Kluyveromyces lactis: one gene and its partners. The protein of the gene in region 3 purifies or fractionates together with the protein of the main gene of each other region. This does not show direct contact. Links are inferred from orthologs where the notes say so. Each region holds a gene or a part of one and is shown on either strand. Other genes may lie near its edges. The genes, in order: CYT1, QCR6, COR1, SHY1, COX6, TIM21 and COX12.

Region 1 (2,789 bases), on a different chromosome or scaffold from region 3:
AAAGTAGTATTATGACGTACAAAGGAGGAGGTTCAATTCTTTCTAATTCGTAAGAAAAAAACACTATTTGTTCCCCCGAAGTACCATATTCTCAGAAGATGAGAATAAAGAGAGGGGTTGTTCGTAAAAAAAGTTTTCATTTAAATCCTCACCGTTTCATTCTTGATAATCGAGCTTCCTTTTCCCTCTTTATAAGATGTTTTTAAGCATGGTTGATGGTCAAGCCATTTTGTTTTGTTAGAATCCTTTTTTATGTGTCAGACGGTGTGGGATGTATGGGTGGAAAGATGAATATATTTGATGTATCTCTGATCTAAATGATTAAGATCACATTTGATTACCAACAATCAAATACTGATCAATCAAGTAGCAAAAAAGAAGAGACCTTGCAAGTTTCTCCGGAAATGGGGAGAAACAGAAGTAGAGAGTTGAGAGAATAAAATAGAAAGAGTTGATATGAATTAGTCTTTATTCGTTTCGACATTAATATTCAAAAAAACTCATTTCTTTGGTGGGTTGAAGACAATCTTTCTAGACTTGATAGAAGCCCACTTGAACTTCTTGACCCAGACGGACAACAAGTATAGAGAGGACAATACGATCATAGCCTTTAGACCCAATCTCTTTCTTTCATCGTGTTCTGGTTCAGAACACCAGTGCAAGAAAGTGGTAACATCCTTAGCCATTTGAGAAGTAGTGGCTGGGGTACCGTCTTCGTATTCGACCAAATCGTCGAACAAGACTCTACCCATCGCAATGGAACCACCTGGGAAGTATGGGTTGTAGTTGGCACCTGGAGGCAAGACAACACCGGCTGGTGGTTCTTCTGGGTAACCAGTTAACAAAGCAAAGATATAATCTGGACCACCGTGTCTGGCCTTGACGATCAAGGACAAATCTGGAGGTAGAGCACCTTGGTTAGCGGCTCTAGCAGCTTGTTCGTTTGGATATGGACCTGGGACATAATCAGCCAATTTACCAGGTCTCTTCTTTGGGTTACCTTGGTCATCTGGTTCGTCATCGTATTCGAACTCTTCAGCCATGGCTCTGACTTCGGCGTTAGTGTGAGAAACACCAACCATGGTTCTCCATGCAACACGGTCCAAAGAATGGCATGCAGCACAAACTTCACGGTAAACTTGGTAACCACGTCTGATAGAAGAATGGTCGAAAGTTTCCAATGGACCGTTGTGAGACCAACCGTAACCTGGGGCATGCAAACCATGCTCAGCAGCTGTCATAGCGTCAGCAGTCAAGGAATCAGCATACAACATTGTTGAAGCACCAATACCGACAACAGCAGCACCACCAACAATGGCTCTTTGAACATAAGTACCTTTTACGGCCTGTTTAGCGGCAGTAGAAAATGATCTGAACATCGTTTATTATTATGATATCACTTTAGTTTCCTATTAATTGAATTCTCTTCTAAAAGATAAAAATGTCCCGAATTTTGATATTCTAACAACTATTTGTATGAATCAAAGCTGATATTCTTGAATTTATATTCGTATCACACAGACAATGGATAATATCCTGAGAATGTATTATTATTCTTTTCTTAATATCTGTACCAGAAAGACGAACAAATAGACAGTTAGGTAAAGGACAAAAATTTAAAAGACGCAGGCTTCTTTTATTCCGTTCTTTTCAAAAATAAATATTAAATCAAATCCGTTGAATTGATTGATCGATCAGCGCAAACTAAATCCCTGGTTAATACTATAACCAACTAAACGTATATATAAATAATCTATGTATATCGTTTCCAAAAAGTTTTCTCTAGTTTGAAAAGAATTATATACTATATTTTTGTAGATATTTTTCATTATATCGCTTTTTACATAGAGAAAAAATCGATTCCCAAAATTTTCAAGCCGTTTTTTTTTTTCCCTTTCGCTGTCTGTGAGCATTTCTCTGCTAAGTTTTCTGTCCAATCCAATGATAATTGTTTGTGATTGATTATGTTTAAAGTATTTTTTTTTATTTTTCGAAAGCGATGTTTTTCTGAAGGTTTTCTATCCTAAGCGCACTGGAGGATGCGTGTTAAGGGCGATATTCCCGACGAAAAGTCACTAAGTACGGGAAAATATCCATATGTGCGGAGGTTTATGAGAAGACGGCACGTTCTTCGATGTGATTGGTCAGAACTCCATATCCCAAAAACATCAATGTCATTCACGTGACTGGGACTTGTCACGTGAATGTTTTCCTTCTGGGAAAACGTAAAACGTCTTTCCATTCATATCCATATGGCAAAAGCCATTCAAGAAAGAGTAAGTACATGCTAACGCCTAGAATAGAATTGACCATTCTGGTCTTAGTTAATCGGCTAGAAGGAAACAGCTCAAGAACAATGGAAGATGTTAGGTACGGGTTTCTCAGTACACTGGACCATTTACCATGCGATGTGATTCGCACCCTCTGGACTATACAATCATTGGATATAGGTGATACTAATAGAGATGGATGTCATTCAGAAGAGATGCTGCGACAAGCGCAACATCTCTTAGAGTTAGTACGGCAAGAACATTCACGGCTCAATTTTGAAAAACAAGAATTGGAGCGATTCTCTCAGATTAAGGCAAGGTACGATAGTCACTTGAAGAAACAACCGAAATTGAAACCTTTGCCTCATCACAAACCGATCAAGATTAAGATCACTATGAAATCAAGGTACCCAGAGGCAGAAAGGGAACAGAAACTGATTCAGCAAGAACATGTGAATCATGATAAGACGCACAAGCCAGAGACAGAGACGTACTGTTTCTGTAGAGATGTGTCGTATG
Region 2 (2,247 bases), on a different chromosome or scaffold from region 3:
AGAAAGGTTATTTTCTTAATTCTTTTGAGAAAAAAGAGGAAGAAAACCGAATCTAGTAGTAATAATAATAATAATAATAATAAAATAATGGTAGTGGAGTAGTCTCTTCTTCTGAATTTTTTTGGTACAGTTCTTCAAATTGATTCCAGATACCCTTCGATCTGTGATTCCTTCACTTTTTTGTTTCTTATTTTTAAATTTTAAGTTTATTGTGTTTCTAAGTCAATAATTCATAATAGTATGGGATGGATTGTGTGGTTGTTTGGAATTGAAAAGAAAACTCTACTTATTTCCTCAAATTGCAAGGGGGAACCTTAGGTGATTACGATAAGCTGAAACATCTTTTTCGCTTTTAAATTCTTTTAGAGATTGAATGTTGAAATATGTGTTAAGTATAACGGTTGATTTTTTGAACAGGACTGAAATAAAGGTTAGAAAAAAGTAGAATATGAACTCTCCTTTTCCATTTGCATTTATATTGATGAAATGGGATATCTCTTTTATTTCAAGTAATCGAACAGTTTTGGAGCAGCGCATTCATCCACGAAATGTGCCAAGTGGAAGAATTCTTCCACACAGTCCTCCTTGTATGCCAAATCTTCATAGCCTGGTTCTTCTTGTGCCTTTTGAACTCTTTCGACACATTCCAGATAATGATGAACCAAGTGCTTACCTTCTTCGGTAGATTTACATTCTTCTCTCAAAGCATCTAATTGATCACCTTGTTCTTCTTCTTCATCTTCATCGTCTTCATCTTCGTCATCTTCTTCCTCTTCTTCATCTTCTTCAACGTCGTCTTCAGCCTTGGCCACAGTTGGCACGAAAGCATCCTTTAATTCTTCCAAGTAAGCAGTAATAGAGGAAATCATTCTGTTCTCTTATAATATGTGTGTGTATGTTAATTTAAAATTGATAGTTTCAAAAAGGACAGGGAAATTCTAGTATCGAGTAAAATCAAAATACAACGAATAAATATGAATAAAGCCCAAAGTTTGTGAATGTATTGGTTGTATTATTGTTCTTATGAATATTTTATTCTGTGTATATCAAACAAAATAAAATAAAATAAAATCAAAACTGGATGTAATAGAATAAAACCAAATACCCGACGTATTAGTTACTTGATACCGTATTGAACCGAAAAGAAAACTTATAAAACCTAGTTAAACAACTTATGAATTGGAGCTAACCTAACAAAAATATGATATAACCGAAGTAATGTGAACTGAATATTATATCGATTGATTGATAGATATATTATAATTAAAATCGAAATATGAAATTTTTCATACTTTAAACTAAAAAAAAAAATATCGAAGGTCAAAAAAAAAAATTACGCAGAAATCAACGTATCAATGTGGAAGCATATAACGGAAACTCTACATATAGATAACCGATAAAATTCAAGGTTTAAACTGCACACGAATTAAGAGAGCTTGGATAGGGTTTGATTCTGAGCGGTTTTGGTGCTTGTTTGGCACCTTAGTCAATTGCTGGAGTCGCAGGAACGGACTATTTCCCTGCCCAAATTGGCCGGCCAATGAAATAATCGATGCTGGAAATGTTTATGTTATCCAGCCTTTGTACTGCCGTTTCAGTTGCGACATTGTATCGGTCATCACATTGTACGACGAATAAACAGGCTCTTTCCTCTTGAAATCTTACTTGTTGAGAGAACCAACAGCCGCTGTGGGCATAGGGGAGCCGCTAGAGGCTCCCGCACTGAGTCTGGCTTTTTTCGGAAGGAATAGCTATTAAAGGCGATCTGTGTCACACACGACGGTAGATTGTGATTGGTTCGTCGATAGTGATGGATGACATTTTATTTGCACGTGATACATAATTATCTATGATGTAAAGCAACTGAAAATATCATATCACGTGGTTTAAGGGTAAGAAACACTATAGATACATTTATACAGGCACAGAGAGAGAAAGATGTCTGTACTCACTGGTTGGAGTTTGCCTTCAACAATTGACGGATATACTGGGCAGCCAGCTCGACTGTGGTAGCTTTGGATGGGATTGCCGCCACGTCTTTGAGTTCCTTTGGAATCAAGGACTCAAGATCCTTCAATGCATTGTTCAATCTGTTTCTTCTTCCTTGTTCTGCTACTTTATGCACTTGCTTTTGCTTCTTTACCACGTCGTCATCATCATCGTCTTCTTCGTCACGTTCGTTTTCACGGTCAGCGTCAGCGTCATTTTCGTCATCCTCACTAGAGGATTTAGGTTTCTGAGAAGATC
Region 3 (3,162 bases):
TCTTGATGGTTAAAATGTATTCAATTGCTCACCAGTAAATGACAGTATCATAAATAAGGACATTGAACTCATATTTTTGTTTCGACGAATAATGAGCGAGATTTTGATTTATTTCGATTTAGCCTAAATTTTCAAATATCATTTGGAATTAAAAAATACATTATGTTCATTAAATGTATTGATCTTGAGGAGCTGTGACAGAGCGAAAAATCGAATGCGCCAGTAAACACCCTAGACTTTAGTCCAAAACAGTAAAATATTGATATAAATCGATCGTGACAAATTTCTTTTTTTGGGGGAATATACACACATGAAATTAAACTGTAACTTATTACTCATCGAGTGATATGGTTATAACAACTCAAAAGTAAATGTTACAGGGAGTAATTCTACTCAGTCGAGTAGAAAAGAGAGAATTGTTTTTAGAATGACCGTCGTGAAATGAGAATATAATATAAAAAGAATTGTTAAAATATCTTAAGACTCGGCTTTTAGTTTGATTACCATCTCATCATACTCATGTCGTTTCTCATTCTGACGTAGTCCAACAAGTCTTCAATCTTACCAGTACCGGCAACAGCGATATCTTGATCCCATAATCTTTCGGAAGCCCAAGCCTTAATATCCTTGGAGGTAATTTTGTCAATCTTAGTGAAGACTTCAGCCAAGGCTGGCTTAGCACCCAAAACCAAGGTTTGAGCACCCAACAAGTTAGCAGCAGCAGCGTTGGTAGAAACTTGAGAAGCCAACTTCAACTTTAACAAAGACTTAGCACGAGCGACTTCAGTTTCGGTGACAGAGATGGACAATCTGTTCCATTGCTTCAAAGTGAAATGGACAGTTTCATCGATGTTGTGTGGGTCGGTGATGGTGGTTCTGAAACCCCACAAACCGGAGTCCTTATAAGAGACAGAGAAGTGTTCGAAAGAGTCACACAAGTGGTATTCGTTAACTTCGTCGATCAACTTAACACCTTGTAGGTTGGAAGCTGGTTCAGCAGCAACGAAAGTACCGAAGACTTCAGCAGCGACTTGAGCAACATAGTATTGTGGAGAATTGATAGGTTCACCTTCAGCAGCGATAGATACCCAAGCCTTTGGTAGAGTATCATCTCTTAGTCTGACTTCAGAACCCAAGAAAGTGGACTTCTTCTTTGGCACTGGTTTGTCACCAGATAGCAAAGAAAGCTTAGTTTCAACAGCCTTGACCAATTCATCGTGGTTAACGTTACCGGTACCAACAATAACAGAGTTGTTTGCCTTGAATTGGTTTTGAACGAAGTTGGACAAGTCGATGTTTTCCAAACCTTCTAGAGTTTCGACAGTACCTCTGACTGGCAAAGACAATGGAGTGTTTTGGAAAGCAGTGGCGTGCAAGTGTTCGAAAACACGTTGTTCGTGTTCAGTTTCTTCGAACTTGGCAACAGTGTCTACAGTAGCTCTCTTGGAACTTTCGAAGACGGAGTCCTCAATTGGAGCGAAAAGCTTGGATTGCAAGAATTCTAGAGCCTTAGCATATTGACCTGGTTGAGAGTTAACAATGTAAGATTGGTGGTCTCTGCCAACCTTGGTTTCTAAGGAGAATCCCAATTTTTGAGCATCCTTGATAGAAGAGTTGACAAAGGAGTTAGCCAACAAGTTGGAAACACCGTTGTTGTATGGGTTTTCGGCAGTAGTACCGGAACCGAACACCAAACCGACCGCAGCAGTGGCAGAGTTGCTGTTTGGTTCAGTAGCAACAACAACACCGTTAGATAGTTCGGTGACGATGGCTTTTGGGGTAATTTGAGTGGCAATGGTTCTCTTCAAGATTGAAGATCTAGTAGCGGTTCTCAACATCTTTCTTATGGCAAATAATTGGTTATAATCCGTTTAATCAATATAGTGTGTTGAATTTGTACGTGCAAAATAAATAGAATACGGGATCAAAAACAAGTCAATGAGCTCCCAAATGTAATACCTTCGAAGTTATAATTCTCGTTTACTTTTTTCCTTGGAAACCTTTCTGTTGGTATACTATCGATTCAAAAAACAGTATAGTGGTATTTCACTGAAAAAAATATAAAGCAAAGTTTGGATAGTTTTTAGCCTAACTGAATTCTCAATTTCCTTAAAATTGTGCACACTTGACTGAAGCAATATACAAGAGTAGAAAACTATAAACAGGTCTAAATAAAGTTAGTGTACTTTCATTAAACAAATATCAATGATTTATCTAACTACTTTTAATTTTTTTTTAATTTTGGAAGGTTACACTATATGAAAAAAGTGAAAAATGTTGATACTGAGAGCGCTGTCTAGTTTTTCGATATTTCCATAATTTTTTTTTTTTACCTCTTCTTCTTTGTCTTCTCTGTAGCATAGAGATTTTCTTTCATTGGACAACGACCTGTCCACATAATTAATAGGGGACCCCCTTTGAACAATTATTAAAATCGTTTCTGGCCGAGAAACTGGTCCGAAAAACAAAAATTTACATAGTAGCGAGTACTTTTCGGGACGAGAATTTAGCCCCAAAACTGCTAATTCCATCTGCTCGAACATTTCCAATCAAATCGACATTTTTGGGATTGCATATCCCTCTTTCTCGCTCATCTCGCAGTTACGGAAGTATCGGTACCAGCATTTCTTTTCCCATAATAAACAGTGGAAATGCTCGATTTCCTATGGTAAGCGGTAAACTTTGAATGAAAAATGAACCGTGAAATACGATGCCCGAACTGGATTTCCATTGGTTCGTCAAAGATGATCAAATACCGAGATTGAAATTCGACTCACGTGAATAAAATTACACTTACCCGCACAATAGAAAGATTCGGGTAAGTACCAAAGTCCAAATGAGTACTTTTTTTTTTTTTGATTACTTGCTTGCTTGCTGGTGGTTTGTGCGTACAGTGTAAGTGTTCGATTCTCGCCTTGAAAACACCGCAACGAATATCCATTCGGATTTACTCTTCGGAAATAAAATCATCATTTCATTCGCCAACTATCCCTGCATGTATTTACGACTTCTTCAAGCAAGGTTTCTAAGAAATTTAGAAGGGAGCTTATTCCCGCAAAGCAAAATGCGCTGAAAAATGGTCGGTCCATCAGGATCCAAATATCTTAACTCCCATGTAATCCCCGTCCGGAACGGTTGTTGTTCTTGCCGCCAGTTTTGAAA
Region 4 (2,790 bases), on a different chromosome or scaffold from region 3:
TTTGGCCTTTGAGACATATCTTATGAGCAGATGAATCCAGCAGTTTTATGTTGAGTTTGGAATAGTGCCAAGTAGCCCTGAGAATTTAAGATGAAAGGTCAAAAAAAAAAAAAACAAGTAATGAATTTACCTCAGACTGTCTATGAGATGTCAAATTAGATACCAGGTTGCCCAAAGAGACACTATCGCATTCCGTCTGTCTGCTTGGAGACACCTTACTGTTCGTGTTTTTGTTTTGCTTTACTTTATTTACGTTTTCGATTTTCGATGTACAAGTATTTCAACGATAGTTAGTTAGTATTCATCAACAGGAATGAAAATCATTCAAAATAGCTATAATAGTATTTACAGGTACAAACAAGGTTGATACTACTATGTGTTTAGTAATTAACTGCTTGAATATAATTTATTGGAATTTGAGTATCTCGAATACTAGAAAATTGAAGGAAATGATGGGATCGAGATAGAAATTCCTGAGAATATCAATATGTGTTTCTTTATCACATGAACTTCTTGGCATGTTTTAGCTTTTGCCTCTTTATTTCATCCTGTGACATAGCGGAACCACGACCACGTCTTAGTGCAATGATAAGGAAGATAGATGAAAGCAGAGATAACCCATACCAAGTAATTAAATATTGTAAATGATTATTCTTCAAATCAATCTTTGGTGCTTTACCAATAGGCACTCCCGCTTTAACGAATTGGAACTCGTTAAATTCCAATCCTGTCTCCGAATCTGCTGTATTTACTTTCTTCGTGTTGACGTGTGGTTTCTCGGATTCTTCTTGTTGTGGTTCTGTTTCGGTTTTCTTTTTAGACCAGAATTTCCAAGATGATTGGTTTTTGTTATCGATACCCTCAGATTTTGATTCTTCATCCCAATGGTGATCTTTCAGATCGTAAAGAGCTTGGTAATGAATAGGAGAAGTATGTGTCATCTCTGTCATATCCTTAATATCCAAGACTTGCCACAATCTACTCTCCCTGTCTTCCTTCTTCCATTGCATTGATGTCAAATCTTTAGCTGCACGCACTAACACTGTAATTGTCACGTTATCGCCTTGAGGTAAAGACAAATGTTGCAAGTTACGAGATGATGGAACGATTTTCTCCTCCGAGATCCAACCACGTTCAATCAAAATTCTTTCTCCCGTATCCTTTCTGATGAAAGGCGTATATAAAACGTACCCCTTGATCCCTCCTCTAACACGGGGGCCGACAAAAATCTCTTCATCATGCAAGAATCTACCGGTCATAGTACACTTGCGGTATTCCCAGTCTTCGCACATATCCGGTGTAAACGTTTTAGGTAACGGAATAGGATCGTAGGTTAATTTGTCTTCGCAGGAAGCAATTAGATTGGTTTTCCATTTCAATCTTCTTAATTGCCAGGTTCCTAAGTAGAACGAGATCACGGGCATGGCAATCATCAGTCCTAGAAAAATACGCTTACCCCATCGTGATTCCTTCTTTTGAAATCCTTCAGTAGGTGTCTTCTTTGTTTTGATAGGTTTCCAGTCAACAGTCGATGTCCTGACCGTGCTATAAAGTCGTCTTACCGGCCTTACCTTTGGTACAGTGAATGGCCTAGCCACAATGAAGCGAAACATATGCTTTGCTAATTGTGTGATACTAGTAGCTTCCGCTAAGAATTGAAATGCGTTTGAACAATTAGTAACAGCAAAGAAGTTAAAGCTTTTCTAATCATGTTTATACGCGATTAGATATACTACTCATCTGCTTTCATCATCTTCATTTTCCAATCTTTTAAAGATCAGAAAAGTGTGAAATATTCTAAAAGTCACGTGAAGAAGAATTTGGAACTCCGACGTTGTGGGGATATTAATATGTACAAGGTTACGTAGATCTGAGTATTGATTGTTTTATGAGAATGATCATCTAGGTCGTAATTGAATCATGTGAAGGTTGTTCAGATAGTTTCTTCATAGGAGAAAAAGTGAAAGTAATTTAAATATGGAGTTGGTTGAAATCAAGCAGAGTAATATACCTTCTTGACATCCACAATTTTCTTACCTCTACCTAGAGCAATTTCATCTATAGATTTTTGAGACTTGGTGATAGCGTCTATAGTACCCTTGGCTATGTTCATGATATTTCTACTCTTGTAAACTTTTGCACTTAAATCTTTGATACCAGCACATTCACAAATTTCATAAATTACGTGATTGACTCTTAGACCGAAACCTGGCTTAGCAGCTCTCAAGAATAGTTTCACACCGTGGTATCTATAGTCTATGTCTTCAAAAATAGTTCTTTTTTCAAATCTAGGCACTTCTTTTAAGTTCCTCACTGCATCCCAATGAGCTTTCTTGATGGATTCTGCCATATCTTCACGGGATTTACCCTCACCGATTCCTACCATACCATTCTTATCACCAACAACCACAAGAGAATAGAAGGATGGAATTTTACCTTTTGCAGTTTGATTAGAAACCATCTTTAAGATCAATGGTTTCATCACTAGTTTTCTGGCGATATGTTGAGCATCGAACCCCGTCTGTAGTTGGATATTATTGGCAATGTTTTGTATATCTGATCTGCCTTCAGTTTGTAAGTATGAACCCACAGGAGGAGTCAAATCTGGATGCTTTTCCATCTCTTGAACGAATACCGAAGATGAGCTTGAATGTAGATGTGGAGAGTTTGGTTTATAATCCCAATAAGGATGTAATGTGGCAAAGTTATCCAAATATGGTGGTGAGAATTCAACATTTGTCTGTGGTTTGAACTCTACATTGTCAGGAATTACTTTATCAGCTAAGGAAA
Region 5 (2,437 bases), on a different chromosome or scaffold from region 3:
CATTTTTCTGTCTACCGCTAAATAGACTAAACGCGTATGTTAATAGCTGTTTGTTTGATATATAACTACTTTTCCTTATAATTTAGTCAGTATAACATATATATAATTATAATAATTGTGATGATGATGATAATAATAATAATAATAATAATCTTGATTTTATTTGAATTGTTTGTAAATGTTTCTTGAAGGTTTGTATTCACGGTTCTGTATATGTCCTGGCAAATAAATAATGTCTTCGTATCTGCTACTACCAGTAGTCAGCACCAAAAAAACCTCCTCAAACAAACAAATGTGTGACAAGAATATATGGTGTCATAGGATGGGACACGTTCGTAAATATAGTTTTTGATGATATTTATTTTGGTTTCATTTGGTTGTTGGTGTTGTGGATAAGTATTGTTCTTTCCTTCCTAGTGAAAGGTTCTCAAAAAGTGAAAATAGTATGGGAGAAGATGATAAAGCCGGTGACTTTAGATTAAATGTTCTTCTATATGCACTTATTGGAACAATTCCTCCTTCAAAGGAATTCCCAATTCTTCTCTAACATCCTTCAATTCATCCAAGTAAGCCTTGTATTGATCTTCGTTTTCAACTTTGTATCTCAAGGCTTCGAACACTCTGACAGCAGTTGGCAAGTCGTTAACCTTTCTGGCGGCTCTCAAGGCCTTTTCGATAACAGCTGGGGCTGGAACCAAATCGTAAGAGAAACAGTTATTCAACACTCTTTGGACTTCGAATAAATCGTAAGCCTCTTCGAATTCCTTTTCGTATCTGGCGGTGAATTCTTCAAAGGTTTCTTCTTCGTGTGCATCGGAGTACTTTCTGATAGAAACAAATTGAGATTGTAATTGACCAACTCTTGGGGCAACAGCAGCTCTCATCATAACCGGAGCAACGGCTCTTACTGGCATAGCAGCTCTCAACAAAGTTCTGGACAACATATTTTTCTTTGTATTGGTTGATTCGGGATTTGGATTTGATTCACTGTATTAAGATGATCAAATAGCTATTCTAAAAGGAATTATAACAAACCGTATTCACAAAAGATTCAAAGTCGAGTTCTATTGTAATTAAAACTTAATGTAAAACGCTTTAAAGATATATCAAATAGGTTAGGTAAAAGGTAAATCGACCGATAATTTTCTCTGGAGTTTTTTTAAAAATTTGAAGTAATGAAGAATGAAAAAAAAAAAATTAAATACTTAAAATCGCATAGGACAAATATCAACAAACAGTTCAAATACTTAAACTAGTGGATAGCTACGTCTTTGAACTAGATAAAAACGAGATTGTTAAAAGGAAAGTAAGAGTAATAACTTGCGAAACGAATAGCACAAATTTGAACCTCGAGTGAGTCGTTCCATTCGAAACAACTTTTATTGTATCTTATTCTTTGTATGCATCATCTTCTTAGTAGTTTACAAAAAAGTGGTATTATCAGTTTTTTAAATAGTGTGTCTATGGAAAATGGATGGAAGAAAAAAAGAGGGCTAACATAATTCATCGGCAGAGTTGCAACAAAAGTTCACACTCCAAAAAATCCTACATGTGGTACTTACGAGCAAGTCGTTTATCTAGTTCGATTTTAATTATTTGAATTGAGTATTTCTTGACTTTCTGCTGCCTGTCATTTTTCAGTCGAGCGATGTCAGATTAAAGATCTCATGTTCAAAGGAAATGAAACCTTAACTCTCATAATCTTCGAAATAATGTCCTATAAAACAAGATAATAAGTCCGTGATAATAAACCCCACAAGCAGTATCTATAGAATCCAATAAAACACATTCGTGAAATATGCTGGGGGGTAATGGGCATTGATTGAGACTGGTCCGACCGTTCTGTAGGGTGTCTTGTTTGTGGGGAAGGAGAACGTATTGGCATATGATTGGTTCGTCACCGATGATTTTTACCACATAGTCGGGTAATAGGACAGCGGGAGAACGTGACTTCAATACAAATACAATTACCCGGAAGTCGCGTGGTTTCAAAGGTTTTTTTTTTCTCGGTAGGCAGGTTCCCCTGTTCGATCCCTCATCTCCGCAGAAAACTGCGGGTTATTATGTCTCTAAACGCGATAGTTAATCCTCTATATCGTCAAACGTTGAGATAGGTGGCATCGCGGTCTTGATATGTTGCATCAAAGCCGTATGGTTTGGTTCAGAGTTTGTAGACCCCTCAACTATTATTCGGGTATGTCCATTGTCAAACACTTTTCGAACAGCAGGTTTTGAATCATCGTCGATACCTGCACCAGCCTCTTCATGTCCCGTGTTACGATTAGGCCATTCTTCAAGCCTAGAGTAATCAAATCCCGGAGGAGGTGACGCTGGCGGAGACACTAGAAATAATGTCTGGGCAGGGGGAACTTTAAGGTGATTCATCACAGTGTCAGCGCCAGCGTGTGGAAATCCAGCTTGTGAATTCGATTCAGCC
Region 6 (2,402 bases), on a different chromosome or scaffold from region 3:
GGAAGTACGTGTCCGTTAGCCAATGAGGACATTTATTTTAACTTCAAAAGCTACAATACAAAAACCCAGTGTCAAGCCTTAATCAAATCGGTTCAAGATTCTGTTAACACAAAAAAATCAATTAAAGTTCCAACCAATGATCAAGATATCAGTAATCTTGGTAATTCGCAAAAAATATGTTCCATCCTGCTTCTTTTGACAGCTATGACATACACGTTCTTTTTATAAATAAATCAAATGCACTTTGTTTAGATAGACATGAAATAAGTTCTTCGTTTACTATTTTTTGGCGGAGCAGCATGGCAACCCCGCATCTTGTTTAAGTTTTCTTAAAGTACCATATTAACAGTCAATATTGCACTGAGGAGAATAGGCGTCAATTGTTTCATTAGAATTATGGAATATATATATGGCGGGTGAACAACAAAATAAAAGAATGCAAAAGTGTTCGTATCAAAAATGAAAGGATTTGATATACCATTGGTGTGATTCATTACAGTTTAGTCTCTTTTGGGGCCCCAATTAACTCCCAAGAATCCTTTTGGTTTGACAATGGAAAGTTTGGGCTTAATCAAATAATGACGTTTTTCTCCAGGAATATCAAGGTACATTGAAACGAAATCAGGTTGGTAATTTACATCGGATTCTTTGGCTTCCACATGAACGATCCCCATTTTCTGCTTGGATTCTACATGGAACCTCATGAGATAATGTTCCTTGCCCTCCTTGTCAATTCTTCTTGTCGATGAGATTGGTCTATTTCTTGTCCAACGATCATCAGTTAAAATTTCTCCGTACGCTTTTAATCTCTCTGTAGACGTTTCCGTATCGTTGCATTTCAATAATCTTCTGGCGACTTCATCATTTTCTACTTTGCTAACGGCACGATTGAAGATTTGAGTATCCCCCGAAGGAGAGAATAGCTCTGCTCCAATCAAATAGATGACAACTCCAGCTAAACCAGTGGCCCCGATGACCAGTATTCCGGAAAAGGTAAAAGTCGTAAAAGCCCTAATTCGCGGCCATAGTGGTATCTTCTTTTTTTGTTGCTTGTTGCCTGCATTCTGTTGAGCATTGAACGTAGAATATCCTTGAACTGTATGTTTTATTCTGACTGGAGATGCAATTAAAGGCAAACAGAGTGTCTTGGATGAGAATTTTCCACTCAAAGACTGGGCTGGACGTGATATGAACTGACAGAACATTATTGCCTTTGTTAGCAGCCCTCTGACTCAATGTCTTCTGTTGACGAAAGAATCTCTTTTGCCTTATTACACTACTTATGTTTTAAGAAGTTTTGAGTTTTTAGCCTAAGAATTTAATTCTCTAAATTTGACAAGGACGGTGTTTCCTTTGGAATACTATATACCGGAGTAAGGACAGAGGGAATTAACATAAGACGAAATTCGTAAGAATTGCATGAACCTGTAGGTGTCACCGAGACCTAAATTGTTTAATCTATTGCTGCGGAGATATCGCCTCAGTTCAACAGGTCGTCATAACATCCTCAGGGTAAATGGGATCATTCCCTTAAATGAACATATTCAGATGTTTATGTAAATAGCTGTAGGAAGACGTTTTGGTGGCTACATCTTGAGCCACAGATATTGGGTAGATTTGCAATAAATTTATACTTATGTGGAAGAAGGTGAATGAATTGGTGCAGAAAGAGTGATAATGGCTACGTTTTATTGAATTTAAGTACAGTAGGTGTTTCGAAATTGATGATAACTATCAACTCTGGTAATGGAAAATGGTGATCGGTCTTAAAAGTGCAGGTAAAACAAAACAACGGGAGAAATGTTGTTATTACGGATAATGGTAGAAGCAAGTTAATGGCATGCAAACAGGAAACCGTTTATTTTACATAAATATACTATTTGAAATTAATCAATCCTCATGGTATACAGAGTTAGTGAACAAAAGCAAATAAGTGCTTTTTACAGCCCCTTTAGTGCAATGGTTAGCATACATTTTTCCGGTGGATGTGATCCGGGTTCGAGTCCCGGGAGGGGCTCCTCTGATTTTTGTTCAAAATTTGAATTCATACTACGTGCCGATTCATTCAAATTCCTTTATAATACTTGAACCATCAATGGTGTTCAGGCCCAATGCCTACATTTTTTTTTGTACAAACTCAACCAATGGAGGCTAATATTTATTAGCAATTGTTAACAACTACTATATACTGCTGTTCTTTCCTTCAAATTGTATGATCAGAGAATCTCTTTGGGTAGGAATTTCAATATGAGGCTCCATCCTGTGACTGTTTGCATCCGTACATCTCGAATTTATATATGTTTTTCAGAAAATGAAAAAATCGAAATTTATACTTCCTACATAGGAACTCTATCATGAAAACCTTATATCTTAGGCTTACTAGTGAGCCCTGCCTGGCCGCC
Region 7 (2,116 bases), on a different chromosome or scaffold from region 3:
CCAGTAAAGTATTGGAACATGAGGACTTGAACTCCATATTATCATTAATCGATACCTATGATAAAAATTCAGGCGGGATTAAGAATGAAGTTGGTAAACTTGAAATCGTAGGGAATTGTTTAAGAAAGATCGAAACAAAACATTGGGACTACTTATTTGAGAATCTAAAACTAACTCCAAGAGATCTTATCACCAAGTGCATTGCTCTATCTGAAGCGAAGATCTTGGGTACGCTTTTGATGGTATTCTTAAACTATGACGAGGGCGATAGTGAATCTAAACAGGAAGAGGTCACGACAAAGTCCACAAAACGAAAGAACAAGAACAACAAGAACAAGAACAACAAAAACAAGAACAAGAACAAGAACAAGGAAAAGAGCCATACAAACGGACTCAAGGAATCTGATAGTAGAGAGACTTCTCCAGATACTAGTGTATCCACCATCCTAAAAGACGAAACAGTCATAGGTCAAGTCCTCAAGATATTCGTATCCACTGCCACTCTTTCAACTACAAAAGAGCAAGCACAAGAGTATTGGGATTTCGCTCTACAACTAATTCGATTCTTAAGAGCACTAGACAGTAAGGGAAATACTACACTAGCACAGACTTGTCTGGACATGATCTAATTAATACTGGGAAATACCTTTTTTCTAACCGCACTTGTCACGTGATACTCGGCCAATCACAAGGACTGCATCGTCAAAGACGATTACATTCAAACCCCATATAAAATATGTATGCTCACACTATTCAAATCAAACATCTCGTGCCATAATAAGAAGATGATGCGTTTTCTTGCTGAATGGAAAAGTGTTACCATCATATACTGCGATTTTTTCGCAATTAACCAGGTATTTTACAGTTACGCTTTTAATTGAACGAAGCATATGTACTCCTTTCTCTGGTACTACACAGCTGTATACTAGGGTAGATGTAATATTCAATTGACCCCTTTTACGCTGGATATATACTAGTAATATTACTATTAAAGTCTATGTCTGCGGAGTATCTGTTTGTGCTACCTCTTCTTAATGTTACGATATTTCATCTTTTTTTTTTTTTTCATTCCTAATGAAATTTTCGAATGATATTTTCATAGTTTTTCTTGAAGCCGAAAAAAAGATTTTGATTATTCTAACTTTCTATTTAGTTTAACTGATTAGTTTTTAGAATTAAAATAAAGAAGTTTAAGAACTATTCTTTTCAATTCTTGTTGTTATTTTTGTTTTGAGTTTTAGTTTTAGATTAGTTTGAGATTTGTTTGTTCATTCTTATTCAAAGATATTTTAGTTTTGTATTGATTTTGTTCAGGTTAATTAAGATCACTCTTTGTTCAAACATCATCACCGATAAACCCTATTACAATGGCTGAAAATCAAGAATCTCCATTACACACCGTTGGTTTCGACGCTAGATTCCCAAACCAAAACCAAACAAAGCACTGCTGGCAATCGTACGTGGATTACCACAAGTGTATCAATGCTAAGGGTGAAGACTTCGCTCCATGCAAGGTTTTCTGGAAGACCTACTCCTCTCTATGTCCAGTTGACTGGGTTGAAAAGTGGGATGAACAAAGATCCCAGGGTATCTTTGCTGGTGACATTAACCCATAAACTGGTTGGAAATATGTGATATAATGCGATGAAAAAAGAGGCAGTTAATTAGTGAAGAACTAGTTTAGGAAAACTAAAAACAAAAAAAGATGATATTCATTTGGAGCAAGATGTGACAACAGATACTGAAATTATCTGTTATGATTCGTACTTAACGTATCTTCCTCTTTTATTATTTTCATTCACTTTCCTCGAACAATGGCTTCACTGTTTTCTGTCCCATCGATTTTTCATTCATTTTCTTTTTAAAACAATATATTTATTATCCCATTCACATCCGTCCTCCGTTTCCCCTTTCGATGTTATTGTCACTTTGTAACGTTTTCCACTCAATATAAGTTTCAGCGTCTTGGATCATCATTCCAGACCTTAGTGTGGAAATTAAGTAACATTGATGGAGATCCGGAAATCCCAGTACAAGTTTCACTTTTATTAAAACAATACTCTCATAAAAAAAATTTACAAAGAAAGATCAATTTAGAACACAGTTTAAACTTTGT

The links.
Region 1: the proteins of COR1 (region 3) and CYT1 purify together in Saccharomyces cerevisiae (affinity purification with western blotting; 7 studies listed by BioGRID, with this or other methods). This does not show direct contact. The link is inferred for Kluyveromyces lactis from reciprocal best matches to the Saccharomyces cerevisiae genes COR1 and CYT1.
Region 2: the proteins of COR1 (region 3) and QCR6 purify together in Saccharomyces cerevisiae (affinity purification with mass spectrometry; 4 studies listed by BioGRID, with this or other methods). This does not show direct contact. The link is inferred for Kluyveromyces lactis from reciprocal best matches to the Saccharomyces cerevisiae genes COR1 and QCR6.
Region 4: the proteins of COR1 (region 3) and SHY1 purify together in Saccharomyces cerevisiae (affinity purification with mass spectrometry; 4 studies listed by BioGRID, with this or other methods). This does not show direct contact. The link is inferred for Kluyveromyces lactis from reciprocal best matches to the Saccharomyces cerevisiae genes COR1 and SHY1.
Region 5: the proteins of COR1 (region 3) and COX6 purify together in Saccharomyces cerevisiae (affinity purification with mass spectrometry; 4 studies listed by BioGRID, with this or other methods). This does not show direct contact. The link is inferred for Kluyveromyces lactis from reciprocal best matches to the Saccharomyces cerevisiae genes COR1 and COX6.
Region 6: the proteins of COR1 (region 3) and TIM21 purify together in Saccharomyces cerevisiae (affinity purification with western blotting; 3 studies listed by BioGRID, with this or other methods). This does not show direct contact. The link is inferred for Kluyveromyces lactis from reciprocal best matches to the Saccharomyces cerevisiae genes COR1 and TIM21.
Region 7: the proteins of COR1 (region 3) and COX12 purify together in Saccharomyces cerevisiae (affinity purification with mass spectrometry, with the first as the bait; 3 studies listed by BioGRID). This does not show direct contact. The link is inferred for Kluyveromyces lactis from reciprocal best matches to the Saccharomyces cerevisiae genes COR1 and COX12.

The regions. Positions count from the first base shown.
Region 1 is NC_006042.1:1,525,482-1,528,270, reverse strand, and holds CYT1 (ubiquinol--cytochrome-c reductase catalytic subunit CYT1), read right to left. Parts: upstream 1,380-2,789; coding exon 501-1,379; downstream 1-500. Other genes in the region: YNG1 (Yng1p), read left to right, coding at 2,285-2,789. UniProt on the Saccharomyces cerevisiae protein: Component of the ubiquinol-cytochrome c oxidoreductase, a multisubunit transmembrane complex that is part of the mitochondrial electron transport chain which drives oxidative phosphorylation.
Region 2 is NC_006040.1:1,355,556-1,357,802, forward strand, and holds QCR6 (ubiquinol--cytochrome-c reductase subunit 6), read right to left. Parts: upstream 870-2,247; coding exon 501-869; downstream 1-500. Other genes in the region: phosphate-sensing transcription factor PHO4, read right to left, coding at 1,949-2,247. UniProt on the Saccharomyces cerevisiae protein: Component of the ubiquinol-cytochrome c oxidoreductase, a multisubunit transmembrane complex that is part of the mitochondrial electron transport chain which drives oxidative phosphorylation.
Region 3 is NC_006041.1:507,834-510,995, reverse strand, and holds COR1 (ubiquinol--cytochrome-c reductase subunit COR1), read right to left. Parts: upstream 1,839-3,162; coding exon 501-1,838; downstream 1-500. UniProt on the Saccharomyces cerevisiae protein: Component of the ubiquinol-cytochrome c oxidoreductase, a multisubunit transmembrane complex that is part of the mitochondrial electron transport chain which drives oxidative phosphorylation.
Region 4 is NC_006038.1:1,000,815-1,003,604, forward strand, and holds SHY1 (cytochrome oxidase assembly protein SHY1), read right to left. Parts: upstream 1,614-2,790; coding exon 501-1,613; downstream 1-500. Other genes in the region: DAM1 (Dam1p), read right to left, coding at 1-17; MRPS5 (mitochondrial 37S ribosomal protein uS5m), read right to left, coding at 1,994-2,790. UniProt on the Saccharomyces cerevisiae protein: Required for efficient assembly of cytochrome c oxidase in the mitochondrial inner membrane. Involved in a step that couples MSS51-COX14-dependent regulation of COX1 translation to early steps of cytochrome c oxidase assembly.
Region 5 is NC_006042.1:2,036,121-2,038,557, forward strand, and holds COX6 (cytochrome c oxidase subunit VI), read right to left. Parts: upstream 945-2,437; coding exon 501-944; downstream 1-500. UniProt on the Saccharomyces cerevisiae protein: Component of the cytochrome c oxidase, the last enzyme in the mitochondrial electron transport chain which drives oxidative phosphorylation.
Region 6 is NC_006038.1:517,959-520,360, reverse strand, and holds TIM21 (Tim21p), read right to left. Parts: upstream 1,206-2,402; coding exon 501-1,205; downstream 1-500. Other genes in the region: GAS2 (1,3-beta-glucanosyltransferase), read left to right, coding at 1-228. UniProt on the Saccharomyces cerevisiae protein: Essential component of the TIM23 complex, a complex that mediates the translocation of transit peptide-containing proteins across the mitochondrial inner membrane. Required to keep the TOM and the TIM23 complexes in close contact.
Region 7 is NC_006042.1:1,581,483-1,583,598, forward strand, and holds COX12 (cytochrome c oxidase subunit VIb), read left to right. Parts: upstream 1-1,367; coding exon 1,368-1,616; downstream 1,617-2,116. Other genes in the region: RIC1 (Ric1p), read left to right, coding at 1-629. UniProt on the Saccharomyces cerevisiae protein: Component of the cytochrome c oxidase, the last enzyme in the mitochondrial electron transport chain which drives oxidative phosphorylation.